Caenorhabditis elegans: one gene and its partner. The protein of the gene in region 1 purifies or fractionates together with the protein of each later gene. This does not show direct contact. Each region holds a gene or a part of one and is shown on either strand. Other genes may lie near its edges. The genes, in order: mina-1 and wago-4.

Region 1 (6,093 bases):
TTCGGCTTATGCTATCATTCTACGGTCAATGCAAATCTAAATTATTTTCGAAATTTTTAGAATTTAGCTGGCAGGAGCCACTTCCAATATATATATATAGGTCTTCAATGCAGTTATAATCAAAATTATCAAAACAAAAGAAAAAGGAGAATATTGAGATTGGAGGAGGTCACCCTAATTTGGTAGCCATTTGCAAATGGGCGGAGCTTTGATGGGCGGGCCCGAGTCGTCCGATTCGTTGCTCCGCCAAATGAAGTCTCCGGCAGAGTTGATTGAAAGTCGTTTGGCACTTTTTTTCGGAGGTTTATATGGATATGAACTCCAATTTTATTGAAATTAGCAAAAAAAACGTTTCGAATGGGTTCGTATAGTTGGTTGAATAATGTGATTTAATCTAATTCGCGTAATACGTTATTCAAGATTTTATAAAGGTTTATTATTTACGAAAAAAAGAAAATCAGTAAAAAATAAGAAAAAAAAACGGTAAAACTTCAAAAACACTTAATCTAAAACAACTACATCGTCGTTGCATGAAAGAGGTTCGCAGATGTTCTTGTGCCAACTTTCCCACTGTTGATGGTCCAATTTGCGATAATAAGCTGCGAACTGAAACAAATGTTATATTAAAATTGCAAATTTAAAAATACTTACATCTCCGAATGACATATTTGTATGACAGGAGCTTTTTCTGTTCAAACATGCAAAACTTCCGCACTCGCATTTTCCATTGAGATGATTTTTCATGTAGTTGTATCCGTAGTCCATTGTAAGCTGAAATGTAAAAACAAACTTTATGAGCTAGATTGATAGTGGTATAAAATTTCCAAATCAAGACTTATAAAATAGCTTACCGGTGTTCCTGGATAAATGTTTAACAGCGAAATGAAAACGAGATGTACGTGAGCTGGTGAAAGACCTTTCTGGTAGACACGAACGATTTCTAAATTCGGCGAACAGCTATGACAAATCATTCGTCCAACGTTTCCTTTGGCTTTTGGATCAATGAAAAATTCTTCGTAGCTCAACTTCTTCAAAAACTTTTTATAGTCATCAGAGAATTTCATTGTATCCAAAAGACGCCTCCAGTTCGAATTGTCTTTATCTGTGAGCTGATAAGCATAATCTTGACTGTCACGATCTAGTTGATTACGCTCAACTATTTCTCCAGTAAATTCCAATACTGCCGTGCCAGCTGGAATCAGAACAGATGAACGTAATCCAAATCCAACGTTTTCATTGCTTCGATAGATCTCGAGCGGAAACAGTTTTTTGTTAAGAATTAATAAACTGTTATTGGTGCAGTTTCCTTTGCAGCCACACGCTTCAGAGCAGGAGAATCCAATACATCTATCGAATGTACTATTCGAATTGGAGAACATTACTGGATCAAACGACGCCTGAACTTCTTATTAAAAATTTTTTCATATTCTTACGGAAGGACTTACGAATTTGGTAGGAGGGTGACTGGAACTATTTATTTGTAATCCTTGCAGTTTTTGGTTTAATTTATAGCACGGGCAGTTTTCGTTTTCGTAGCATGGTACAATTGGATTCGATGAGCAACAATCACAACGAATCTGAAAAAGAAAATAAGTTGTTACCTTGAAGAAAAACTAAATTTAGCAATACATAAAATAACTGAACAATTGACTAGAAATAATCTTCAGGGAAAGAAAGAAGAATAAAGTACCGTATTCTCTTCCTTTTGAGACATAATACATGCTTTCGCAATGTTTCTTGCGGAGCACGGGTTCAAAACATTCGTGTCTGTATATTCGAAGAGAAGAGTATCGGGAATTTGAATTGAAGTCAATTTTTCATCTGGTAGATCAGAATAGACAGGAACGATATCTAAGGTGTTGAAAGTGAGATTCTCTGTTACTCGAATTCTTTTCCTTGGAGTAATATAAGTCGGCGAAAGCAATGGAACACTGAAAAGAAATGTATTAAAATAATATAATTAAATTAATTCCTCACTCTTGGCCGGAATCCGGACATGTGGAAATTTCATGTTCCCTTCCTTGTGAAATCATTGCTCGTTGTCCCAATATTCGCATCATTGTGCCTTTCACATCCTCATCATATTTGGGGAGCAGTTTCCAGTTTCCATTAAGATGTGGATCGTTTCGGATTTTATTCAGAACTTTAACATGCGACTGGCTGTAATTTTCTACGTCTGGTTTCGTTTCCACAAGACAAGCAGATTCTTTGAGAAACGTTCTTCGTTCTTCGTAGCCGGCGGCAAGATATATCGGGAAATCCTGCTCCGCTTTGAATGGAGGTGCCTTTAAATAAAAGTGTTAAAAAGGAGAAAACGTAAGTTTACGCAAACCTCAAAGATACACATGTTTGATGCGAGCATTTCAGTGATTGGGCCTCTTGAACTGTGTTGACGAAGCTTTTTCTTCGTTCGTGACTTCGATTTCGATGACATCTTATATCAAGAATCTGAAAGACAACATTTAGAAGCATAGCACTCAAACCTGAATGTTTGAATACGAAAATAATTAAAATAGGCGGAGTTGACAAAAATAACTTAGTTCACATGTAAAAACTTATGAACAAAATTAGACTTTTATTTTATAACAGAACCCGAAATCGTTTGAAATTAACGTTCCGGCCGGATGCAAGTTCAGAAAAACAAAAATTCAATCAACAAAAAACACTATTTTCAAAAAAGTTTGAATTTTTGAAGTACGGTAATTTGCGTTGTGAGACCTCGTGAAGATATTCCCTGTTCCTTTAATTGCTTTTAAGATTTTCTTTTCGAATTTTTCTATTTTTCTTCAACTGTGGATTAAAAAAGAGGTTTCGTGTTGCATAATTAATCGTTCACACGAATTTATAAATTTTATTTTTAATTAAAATTAAATAATCCCCTTACTCACTTTAACTTCTAACCGGCGCGTATGATTTTAGGCCTATGATTCCTATCGTCTCTAAAGATACATTTTCAGCACTTTTCTTCTTCTTAAATCGATATTTTAAAAGAAAATGGACGACTCAACGCCGTACCCTGTTCCTCAAGAACTTTATATTCCCCAAAAAATGAAGGCATTCATGGCAGGTTGGGAATAGCTTTGTAAACATTAACAACCATGTATTATATCATTTTCAGAACCTCAAGGATGCGCTCTGGTTGCAGCTCTTGAAGGACAGTTTCAATGCTCCATAGTTGTAATCAACGATCATCTCTCTGTGATCAGCAGTGCTGATGGTGTCGCAGTGGACATAAATCAAATTGAAAAAATCTTACGGGACGTATGGCGAAAGAGAGATGTTCAAATGTTAGTAATTTCTGCTGAACTCAACGATTTAGAATTACCTGTTTCAGTATGATACGAGAGGCTGCCCTCAATGCATCTTGTACACACATTTGTCATACTCTTCTACCACGGGCATACTGTGCTGTTGTTCTCTTCTTCTCTTCTGATTTGCAACGGAGATCCCGCTGCACTGATATTATCGTGAGCTTGTTAAAACTACTGTGCTGATTTTATTTTTCAGATTGACCAGTTCACTGGCAAGGTAACAATGTTCGGAACTGAGCAAGCTGTCAATAAAGCGAGAGAGATGATGATAGAATGTTTGACAGAACATTTCGGTCTTCTGGAAATGAATATTCCGCCTACACAACGAACCACACGAATGGGCTACAGTTCGTTGAAATTTTCACACTTCTAATACTCATTTTGTTCTAGCAAATTCGTACAATCCGGAAATTCGAACACACCTCCCACCAAATAGCTTTCTGAACTCAGTGTTTCCGGTAGAAAATAACGTTTCAGATGACATCTAATATTATTTTCTACAGATGGGCGAGCCGAACGCGATATTGACATCGACACCGCCGACGACGTCTATTATGGATGAACCTCTTCTTTCCGCAAGCCTAGAGAAGCACCTCCTTTTCCCATCGGATTTTTCGGTTCCACCTCCAAGGCTTTCTCCAGTGCAAGAGCTTCCTTTAACCCCACCAAAAACATGCGTTGTCGAAAAAATCAAGCAATGGGTACGATTAATGTCAATTTTAAAGTATTTTTACATTTTATCGTTTCAGATTCCAACCACGGAAGTAGGAAAAATATTAGGAAATCGTGCTGCAGTGAAAAAGCATATCGAGAGACAATTCAATTGCGTTATTACCGTTCACACTGAAGTCCAGTCTTCATTCGGAGCTACACCGGTAGAAATCGTGGCTCAGAACAAAGAACAATGTCAGGAAGCACGCAATGCAGTTATGTCCCTCATGCAATCACACCAGGACAAACCTGCTTCAAATCCTCCCGATTCTGGGTTCAGTACGCCTGGATCTCCATTCACTTCAGATAGTTCTTCAACAACTCCCGAGAAGCGTGGTAATTCGAGACAATATCATCGCGGCAGTTTCCGTGATCAGCCAAAGGTGATGCTTGCATTGACACCACGTAAACTTTCCCCGTCTGATTAATACCTGTGATATTCGTTCCTTGTCCCCTCTATATCATGCACCCTATTTTTCTTCTGATATCATTTTTCATGTGGATGCCAAACTCTGTTTCATTTCATTTATTAGTTCCTTTTGCTTGCTCATGTATTTTGTTTTCTAGATTAATCCTGTGATGCTTTGTGTAAAATGCTGATTGCCTTGTTCGTTGTGTGTTATTAATAAAAACTTCTTCTTCTTAAACTTCAAGGAATGTCGACATTAATGTCTGTATCGAAAATTGTTTTTTAACAACAAGTATTTTTTTCAATCGTAACAATTTCTCTCAGAACAACAATCTTGTTATTTTTCTGTTCGGCGTCCTTCGTAGTGTTTACTTCTCCAGTATCATTCTCATCTCTAGTGAAGCCTGATCGTTTTCATAGTTTTGCCAGACTTCTTAAAATATATTTTCTAAATATCATTCTACTTCTATAATTCATTTGAAAAATGACTTGTCAAGAACATCGCGGTGAATTCGAGAAAAGCTGGTCAAATATCCATTCGGAAACTGGAGAAGTATTTAAAGGTTTTATGCGTCTGTAGATTTTATATTCTATGTTCTTTATTGTCCGTTCTAAACTGCAAAGCATGTACATTCTTCTACTCACTGATCCCTTCTCAATTTTTGTTGTGACCGCCCGCCTGACCGCCAAACATTCGTCCTCACACGCGCTATTCGCAACTGTCAATAGCATTTAGAACTAGCAAAAACTTATATTTTCCAATTGATATAACTTATTGGCGTTAGAATGTCAGTAGTGTTCGCTGTGATCATTCAGACTATCTTCAAGTTTGATGTTTCCGTTTCAGAAACATTTAAAACAATTATTTTTTGGACGAACTGTCATTTTATTTATTTTTCATTAATGACTATATATCCATCCATGTTTTTTTCAAAACTCGTGCACCAACTCTTAAGTTGACGAGAGCACAAGATTTTGGTTCTCCTTGAAAATGAAATCGCGAGCCTCCCTTTTCAAAATCGATCCGCAACAGCATGTTTACTCGTTTGGCTTTCTCTTCAATGTCCTTCTGTCTAACACACTCCTCGCTCTGTACGCTCTCTCGTAAAATTTTGTTGTTCTTTTCCTACTGCCTCTGCCATTTTAAATGACCGATGAGAACAATCGGCCACCAACCACCACCAATGCCTGAATTTCGATGACCTTTTCTTCTTGTTTTCCAGTTTATTTATCAGACGGACTGTCACTGAATCAGTGTGAAGAGAATTATAATCTAAAAAAATGATGCAAAATACAACTGTTCGCCCAGTTTGTGTGGATTCGCAGAGATAACGTGAATAACCTCTCGTTTCCCTGTTTTCGTTTACTTTTGTGTGCACCTCGTTTTAACTCCCGTTTCGCAAACCAATTTTTTCTTACAGAGTTTATTGACAAGGAGCACTGTCGTCTTGCTGCTTACGAAAAAATGCCATTCTGGACCACTCAGGTAATTTCTAGACAAAACTGCGTGTTAATTTTTTGAAGTTGTTTATTTCAGGACACTCGTAATGCGATCATCTCGTCGTTGATTCCAGCTGGAGCCGCGGTGGCTGCCTTTGCATCATTTGCCAAAGATCAGCAAGTTGCTGATTGGTGGGCGGTCAGTTTAAATGTGTTCATAAT
Region 2 (8,240 bases), on another chromosome or scaffold:
CTACTCCACCTTTAAAGAATTAGAATTTCAAACAGATTTTTCTCTACAAAATGGCATATTTTTCGAACCTGAAATCGAAAAACTGACGATTCTAATACATTTTTTAAAAAACTGTAGTGACTCCTTTCTGTAAAATCTTCAGTTTTGGGCCAAATTTCATAATTTTACACATTTTCAACTCGTATGATTCCTCTCAACAAAATTATGAATCAAAAAAATTCGGAAAGAGTTTCTATATAGGCCAACAATAGCCAAAAACTGCTGTCCCAGCTAATCGAGCTCCCACGAATTCAGGAGTTTGTGAGGTGTCGTTCCAGTAATTATGAACACTCCAGGACATCGTGTTTATTACCTTCTTAAGATATGGAAATTTCTTTCTAAGCGCATCCATTGGGTACATGAGACCTCCGTAACGATTCAGTCGTGGGATGTGTCCTTGACTGTTCTCACCCGGCAACGGGATCGAGTCCACTTCCAGATTGTTCGATGTCGCCTCAATTTCCGACTCTGGAGGAATGAATCCGCCACTCACAAGCTCTTCGATTCGGTTACGCTCTCTCTCCAGTTCACCCATATAATCAGCCATTTCACGTTGATTTTCCAAAAATGCAATGTAGGCTTTCGGGTGGGAATCTCTGAGATGTCGCTCGAGAAGGCTCATCTCACCGAAACGATTTTTGCAGACTTTGCATCGGAACATGCTTTTACGGACGGCATTTCGAATTTCATCGATGCTCAGTGAGGACGCAGGAACCATGTTGAGATCCGGAGCACAAAAGTCTTGCTGCTCTGAAAATTATAAATTTTCTTTTTTTCCAAATATTGGTTCAAAATTGGACTCAAAATTGCCTAAAAATACCGAATTTCATGATGAAACTTCTTGAAAACTTCTCAAAAAAAAGTTATGACGGCTCAAAAACTGGCCTAAAATTAGTTAAAATTTGAAATTTGACTTGTCAGCGCTGCCAGCTGGAAACTAATATTTTTGAAATCACCGTCAAATTTTGAGTATTTTATGTAATTATCTTTCGTTTTTAACTCTGATTTAGGTATTTTAAAGTCGATGAACGGCGAGATTTTTAAATTTTTTTAAACCAAATCTCGCGGTCCATCGACTTTAAAATACCGAAATCGTGTTGAAAACGCAAGATAATTACATTTTATACCCAAAATTTGACGGTGATTTCAAAAACAAAAATTGTTTCCAGCTGACAGCGCTGACAAGTAAAATTTTAAGTTTTAACTACTTTTAGGCCATTTTTTGAGCCGTCATAACTTGTTTTTGGGAAGTTTTCAAGTTTCATTATATAAATCGGTGTTTTCAGACAATTTCGAGTCTACTCCACCTTTAAATGACAAATTTCTGAAATCCTTACTTTGTCGAACTATACACTTGTCAAGTTCGGCAGATGGATCGATGAAATTCAGTGCAGCTCGGTTTTCGCGAAGCTTTTTGATTGGTCTTCCATCCCCGCCGAGAATGATTCGTTCTTTATGAATTTTCGGCGGATTTCTGAGGCTCGCAAGAAGCTCGCCGACTCCGGTGAGCTTTTTTCGTGGGCAACACACGTCATTTCTTCCAGAATCGTTGGCTTCAGCTACTGTTTCCTTTTTCATGCATTCTTGAAGGAAGTGCTCTTGAATACGACGAATCTGTTGAGCATCCTGAGCGTTGAATGATGCAATAATCTGCTGTTCCTTTTCGTCTTGGCAATCCCTATGTTCCGCATGATCATCTTCCGAGACTGCATCTATCAAGAAATCATTAGAAGAGAATAATACAAGAGAAATAAATATCAAATAGTGATAATAACTAGGTTTCTTGGAACCAAATATAGAAATCAAGTTAACAAAATTTCGTTATTTTTGTTTTTTTATTAGGTTAACAATAGAAAAAAATATAATGATTACGTGAATCTTCACGATCGACAATCTCCGGCGCCTTCATTGTTTCTCGTTGCTTGTCCTGATTGTTCCTGTAATTAATTGCATTATTGAAGGAAATTTTAAGATTTCAAATAACGAAATTGAACACGGGTCTGGAAAAATAGAGGCGAAACGAAGAAATATGAACATTTCGAAATAATGCAACAATCTCATGTGACTCCTGATGAAGAGGGTATTTGAAGTGCAAAATAGAGCGCAAGTGCACTTTTTTAATTTTTCTCTTAAAAATAGCTATTTTTGTTTAATTCTAGAGTTTTAATTATAAAAAGAAAAGCAAAATTCAATAAAGGTTCTCTTCGAAAAAATAAATTGTTCGGGTGGATTTACGGTAAACAAGGCGCATTGCGTTAAGGCGGAGTGTCGTTGTGCTCGGGTCTCGCAGCGAAAGTCACCTACAGTAACCCAGAATTTTAGGATGACCGCGATTTTCAATTTCGTTTTTTCTTTTCGCGTTTTTTCGCGGAAATGTTTGTTTTTGATGCTCGTTTTGTGTTTTTGTGTTGTATTTTTGTTGCTTTTTTCGCATTTTTCTATACGTTAAGTCTTATTTCGTCTTGAATTTTAAATTTACAGGTAATAGTTACAAAATCGAGAAGGATGCCAGCTCTTCCTCCAGTCTACACGCCTTCTGGAGCTCCATCGAGCGTCCACGCACCACCTGCCGTTCCACCAGTTCCAGTTCCGACTCAACCGTTAAGATCGGAGTATCAAACGTCTAACGACGCTTGCATCAAGAGACTGGAAGAGCTTAATGTACGTTTAGTTTAATTGATTTTTTTTTCAAACCTAATTTGTTAAATTTCAGATTGCTCCTGCTGCAAAGCTCTATCCAACACCTACTGAACCAGGAAAGTGTGGCGTCGAGGCCGAAATACAGACCAACGTATTCGGAATCGAGATGCACCAGGATTCGTTGTTCTATCAGTACAGCGTGAACATCACGACGGAGCTGAAAAACGGGAAAGAAGTTACCTTCACTAAGAAGGGGAAGGATGAGTGAGTTTACCACATGATTTATATTTTTCTCATAATATGTTCCAGCTTCGTCGTTACTGAGAGACACGACAAGTGCTGTGCGATTCTGTTCCGCGCGCTGGGTGACTATGAGGAGTTCTTCAAAACGTCTGATAGCTGCCTCATCTACGATGGTCAAAGCATTCTGTTCTCAAACGTGGATCTTTTCCAAGGGTTCAGAGAAGGCGCAGTAAAGGTAAATAAATTAAATCTCGGCCAATGTTATTCCGAATATTTCAGACCAAGTACATGCAGCTTGATGGCGGAGAAATGGATCATAAGGATCTCAAATCGTTGCCGTGTATTAAGCTGGAGGTGTTCCCGACTAAAAACCCAGCGGTCAAGTTCACACGAGAAGCCGTAGCAAGACGAGCAACGGACTCAAACCTCGATTCTGTCAGCTTGGCTTACCAACAGATCCTGGAACTCGCTCTCACTCAACCATGTCTTCGCAACACTGCGAGATACGTTGTTTTCGATCATGGAAAAATGTTTTTCATTGATCCACTCGGTGAAGGATTCGAGAAATGCGACGTTGTGGACGTTGGGGATGGGAAGCAAGTTGTACCAGGACTCAAGAAGACGATCAACTTCATCGAAGGACCCTACGGCAGAGGACGGAGTAATCCATCAGTTGTCATTGACGGTTGGTATTCAAAATAGTAATATCATAGTTATTTCTTGTTTTTCAGGGATGAAGGTCGCTTTCCATAAGAATCAGCCAATTCTCGACAAACTGAAGGAGATAACTACGCAGCCTGTGGAACACGGCCTGAAGGGACTCGAAAAGGACCGCTGCGCAGCCGTCATCAAAGGGCTCGACTGCTATTCTACATATGGCGGTCGTGAACGTCATCACAAGATCGAGGGAATCCATCACGAAGGGGCTCGAAATGCTCGTTTCGAGCTCAACGACGGTGGAAGCTGCACTGTAGCTCAATATTTCGAAGACGTATACAACATCACTCTTCGCTATCCAGACACAAATCTCATCGTTTCCAAGGAGAGAGGAAATATAAACTTCTACCCGATGGAATTGTTGAAGATCAGCTCTCATCAACGCGTTCAGATCCCGCAGCTAACCAGTGCCCAGAGTCAGAAGACAACGAAGGAAAGTGCTGTTTTACCTGACGTTCGCCAGCGTCTGATCTTGACGGGAAAAAATGCGGCGCAAATCTCATCGGACAACGAGGTTCTCGGTAAAATGGGCGTCTCGGTGTGCGAAGATCCGCTCATGGTCAAAGGACGCTCAATTCCTGCGGTGAAGTTGGCAAACGCTGAAATTGGAGCCAATCCAATCAATGTCAAGGACAACAAGTGGCGTGCCAACCGCTTCACTCGACCAGCCACGGCGCCGAATGTGTGGGCGATGTATGTTGTCGGTACCGCATCAACTCGCATAACTTTGGATACTCTGAAGTAAGACTGGCAATATAGTTTCATATCTCATTTTTTTCGTTTCAGGAAATTCGCAGATGAGTTCGCGGCTATGTGCAAGTCAAAAGGTGTCAACATGCCTGCTCCTGCTGACATTTCGCTCATCCATATGGATGCCATCGAGAGTCGTCTGTACGACGCAACGAAAGCCAATTGCACATTCGTTTTCATCATAACGGATGATTCAATCACTACACTCCATCGTATGTTACATTGTTTATTATATTTGTCCATATTTCCGTCTTTCAGAGCGTTACAAAATGATTGAGAAGGATACGAAGATGATCGTTCAAGACATGAAGCTATCCAAGGCGTTGAGTGTTATCAATGCAGGAAAGAGGCTAACTCTCGAGAACGTGATCAACAAGACCAATGTGAAGTTGGGAGGTTCCAACTATGTTTTCGTGGACGCCAAGAAGTACCAGATTTTTTTTTGCGAAATTTATATTCATTTATTATTCCTTCAGGCAGCTCGACTCTCATCTGATCATCGGAGTTGGGATTTCCGCCCCACCTGCTGGAACCAAGTATGCCATGGAGAACAAAGGAGTTCTAAACCCCAATGTCATCGGCTATGCGTACAATGCACAGCACAATCAGGAGTTCAGTGGAGACTTCGTGTTAAACTCTGCCAGCCAAGATGTGAGTTTCCATTTAAGAATATTCTCATCCGATTTGATTTCAGACTCTTGCGCCGATTGAGGATATTGTGATGCACTCGCTCAACGAATACCAGAAGTTTCATGATGGCGGTCTTCCGAGACGCGTCATTGTCTACCGAACAGGAACAAGCGAGGGAAATCATGGATCAATCATGGCCTACGAGATTCCTCTTGCTCGTGCTGCTATGAGAGATTTCTCACCTGATATTCAACTTGTATACATTGTGGTGTCAAAGGATCACAGCTTCAGATTCTTCAAGCCCGATTTGGTTAGTAGTTTTGCATCAAAATAACTTTGTATATTTTCAGGCAAGTCTAGCTTCCCGTCCACAAGCGACTTCCAGCACCGCAAGCAGGCATTCTGCAATGCCAGCCGCCCCAAAAGCATGGGATCTGAATATTGCACCCGGTATTTTGGTCGATTCCATCGTGACAAATCCGGCTTGCAAGCAGTTTTTCCTGAATTCCCACATCACTCTGCAAGGAACTGCGAAGACTCCATTGTACACAGTTCTCGCCGATGACGCCAAAGTCAGCATGACAGCTTTGGAGGATATCACGTACAAGCTGTGCCATCTTCACCAGATCGTTGGACTTCCGACGTCGCTTCCAACTCCATTGTACGTCGCCAACGAGTACGCCAAGAGAGGACGCAATCTGTGGAACGAGGCAGTGTAAGTTTTGCATTAGCGGATTCTTTGGAAAAATGTTTTTGTTTTCAGGGCCTTGAACAACGTTCCAACTGTTTCTGGCCCGGAAGCAGATCGTCTCAAGGAGTTGACCAAGAGCATCTGCTACAAAGCGTCCGGAGATCTCACGGGTCGTCGTGTCAACGCATGATCACTTTCAACAAGGCAAACTTTGTTTCTTTAACCACCTCAACCCTTCCCTGCTGTTCCATTATTTCCTTGTCCCTATTGCAATTGTTTTTGAACAACTAATAACCCTTTCCCACCTGTACCATTTCACATTGTTACTCTTACACCACGTTTATAACCGCATAGTTTTCCCAATGTATTAATATTGCCCATTCTTGTTATATCATACTTATATTGTCCCCTGTTATTCACTTCCCTTGTCAAATATTTCCTTTTTTCAGCAACTTGTCATCGCAATTTCTTTTCTCGTTGAAATTACGCTGACAAGTGTGCTCTGTGGCCTTTTTCTTTTTTTTTTTCATTTGTTTTCTTGTACTAACTTCTCGAAACATCAGAAGATGTTTCGAGAATTTAGTTTTGAATACTAATATAGGCACTGAAAACTTAATAAAAGTTGATAGCCGTCGAAATTGGTTTTTGTTCTATTTTTGAATTTTCCGGGTCGGCTTGGCATCAGGGATGTTCAAGAAATTTTTTTTTGCAAGAAACAAGAAATTTGCATAAAACATTGCAAGAAAAAGCGCAAAAAATGAAAGAAATTTCAAGACATGGAAAACAGTTAAACTTTTTTCAAATGTTAAGATATAGGTTAAAGTAGTCGATTATAAATACGATTTAACCTAATAGGCGACTCCTGGAAGTAAGTTTCAGCCGAAAACTATGAAATTATTGCAATTTCCAAATTTCTACGATTTGTCAAATTTCCATGTCCAATTTTTAACGATTTGAAACATTTTTCCAGCTTTCTAAACGTTTTTTATCCAAAATCCTATATAAAATTTTTATATTTCCATAGAACTTCCTCCATCTTGTACTGATTTTTCTCGAAATAAACCTGAAAATCAAAAAAAAATTTCTTGCACTTTTCTTGCAAAAAAATATTGCAAGAAATGGAAGCAAGAAATGCAAGAAATCAAGAAACAAGAAATTTGCATCCCTGCTTGGCATGCAATTATAATAGTGATACTTAGCTCTAATGATAAGAAGAGGGAGGGATTGTCACGTAAACCCCGTTCTAGGGCAGTGTGGAAAATATAAAAAGTTTATTTCGGAAATTAAATTTTCTACAAACATGTGATTGTGTTTTGAAAAAAAAGAAGTGAGTTTCGCGGCGTTGTAAATACAAGTACAAAATTGAGTGAATATTATATTTTCAGAAAGAAGGGTGGGGTACTGTTGAGAAGCGAGACTCACACAACTACGGAAAAGATCATCAATACAAGGGACACAATAACGGAGCCTATTTCGAGTACAAACAACTATCCAAAACCTGCTTATAATGTCAAGTTAGTCGATGAGATAATTAATTTGCAGAATGATAATTGATGTTCAGGTTCGTGAATTTGTGAAGAGCATTATGCTCGGCGGTCGTGAAGCTCAAAGAGCTCAATATAATATTTTAAATTCTATGAGGGGATCTCGTAGCTCTTTGTAAGTAAATAATACAGTTTGTATATAAGTAAAATGGAAATTTTCTCATCAGATGGTCCAATGCAAACACAGCTTATGTTGGATTCACGAGCAACCCAGGGAAGTATTGCATTCGAAAAAGCCCAAATGCGCCCAATGATCGAGACTTTTGGGTCGATGTGTGTCAATCGCAAATTGGAACAGTTCTGAAAATTGGAAATGGAGTGAACGACTTGGCATTTGTTCCTGGAAAGCGATCACACAAATGAAGTTCAACGATGTGCATTTGATCAACAAAAATCACTCAGAGATTTCATCAGCGAATTCCACGATTTTTTTTGATAGTGTTGACGTTGCTTGTGGGATCAATCGATCTTCAGTTGAGTTCGTTTCTCTTGGATCTTGGAAAGACAATGAAAATCCACTATTCGATACTTCTGCTATGGTATGTTCTCTAATTGCCGCGTGAATGCATAAAAAATGGTGTTTTCAAAAAGAGATTGATGATTGCTTCCCGCGATGAAGACACCAAGTGCTCTATGCTGGTAGCAATATTGTCTACGTTGGATTCACTTTTGCACTCAGTGAGTTTGAAATATTCATATTTTGTTCCCAAATGTAATCATTTAGGAAACCGCTCTATCCGTATTCGACTGCTGCATTAATCTTCGAAATATTGGGCTATTGTATGATATGAAAATTCAGGTATGATTCATTTCATCACACTAGTGATTTACATGAAAACTATTTCAGGATTATCAATACATTTTCGATACAATTCTTGACTACTTCATTATTGGTCAAGCTGCCGTTGCCACTCCCGAGTTGACCAGAATGTACCACCACTACAAGCAGCAATAATTGTACTTTTTTCTATTTCATATGGCAATAA

What was found.
Region 2: the proteins of mina-1 (region 1) and wago-4 purify together in Caenorhabditis elegans (affinity purification with mass spectrometry, with the first as the bait; one study listed by BioGRID). This does not show direct contact.

The regions. Positions count from the first base shown.
Region 1 is NC_003279.8:9,515,599-9,521,691, reverse strand, and holds mina-1 (Messenger RNA-binding inhibitor of apoptosis 1), read left to right. Parts: upstream 1-2,955; 5' UTR 2,956-2,994; coding exon 2,995-3,067; intron 3,068-3,118; coding exon 3,119-3,287; intron 3,288-3,334; coding exon 3,335-3,467; intron 3,468-3,507; coding exon 3,508-3,658; intron 3,659-3,701; coding exon 3,702-3,769; intron 3,770-3,814; coding exon 3,815-4,012; intron 4,013-4,060; coding exon 4,061-4,450; 3' UTR 4,451-4,666; downstream 4,667-6,093. Other genes in the region: set-32 (SET domain-containing protein), read right to left, coding at 502-606, 652-771, 852-1,397, 1,446-1,577, 1,691-1,931, 1,978-2,285, 2,333-2,434; tspo-1 (TspO/MBR family protein), read left to right, coding at 4,916-4,994, 5,853-5,917, 5,969-6,070. UniProt on the Caenorhabditis elegans protein: RNA-binding protein which binds to its own mRNA and target mRNAs to negatively regulate gene expression to modulate apoptosis and differentiation in the germline.
Region 2 is NC_003280.10:12,917,033-12,925,272, forward strand, and holds wago-4 (Argonaute protein wago-4), read left to right. Parts: upstream 1-2,518; 5' UTR 2,519-2,544; coding exon 2,545-2,700; intron 2,701-2,752; coding exon 2,753-2,943; intron 2,944-2,988; coding exon 2,989-3,157; intron 3,158-3,201; coding exon 3,202-3,607; intron 3,608-3,653; coding exon 3,654-4,380; intron 4,381-4,425; coding exon 4,426-4,601; intron 4,602-4,647; coding exon 4,648-4,816; intron 4,817-4,865; coding exon 4,866-5,040; intron 5,041-5,083; coding exon 5,084-5,329; intron 5,330-5,369; coding exon 5,370-5,734; intron 5,735-5,782; coding exon 5,783-5,900; 3' UTR 5,901-6,345; downstream 6,346-8,240. Other genes in the region: F58G1.2 (C2H2-type domain-containing protein), read right to left, coding at 353-789, 1,377-1,745, 1,912-1,948. UniProt on the Caenorhabditis elegans protein: Argonaute protein which is involved in the endogenous small interfering RNA (endo-siRNA) pathway and is required for RNA-mediated gene silencing (RNAi) in the germline.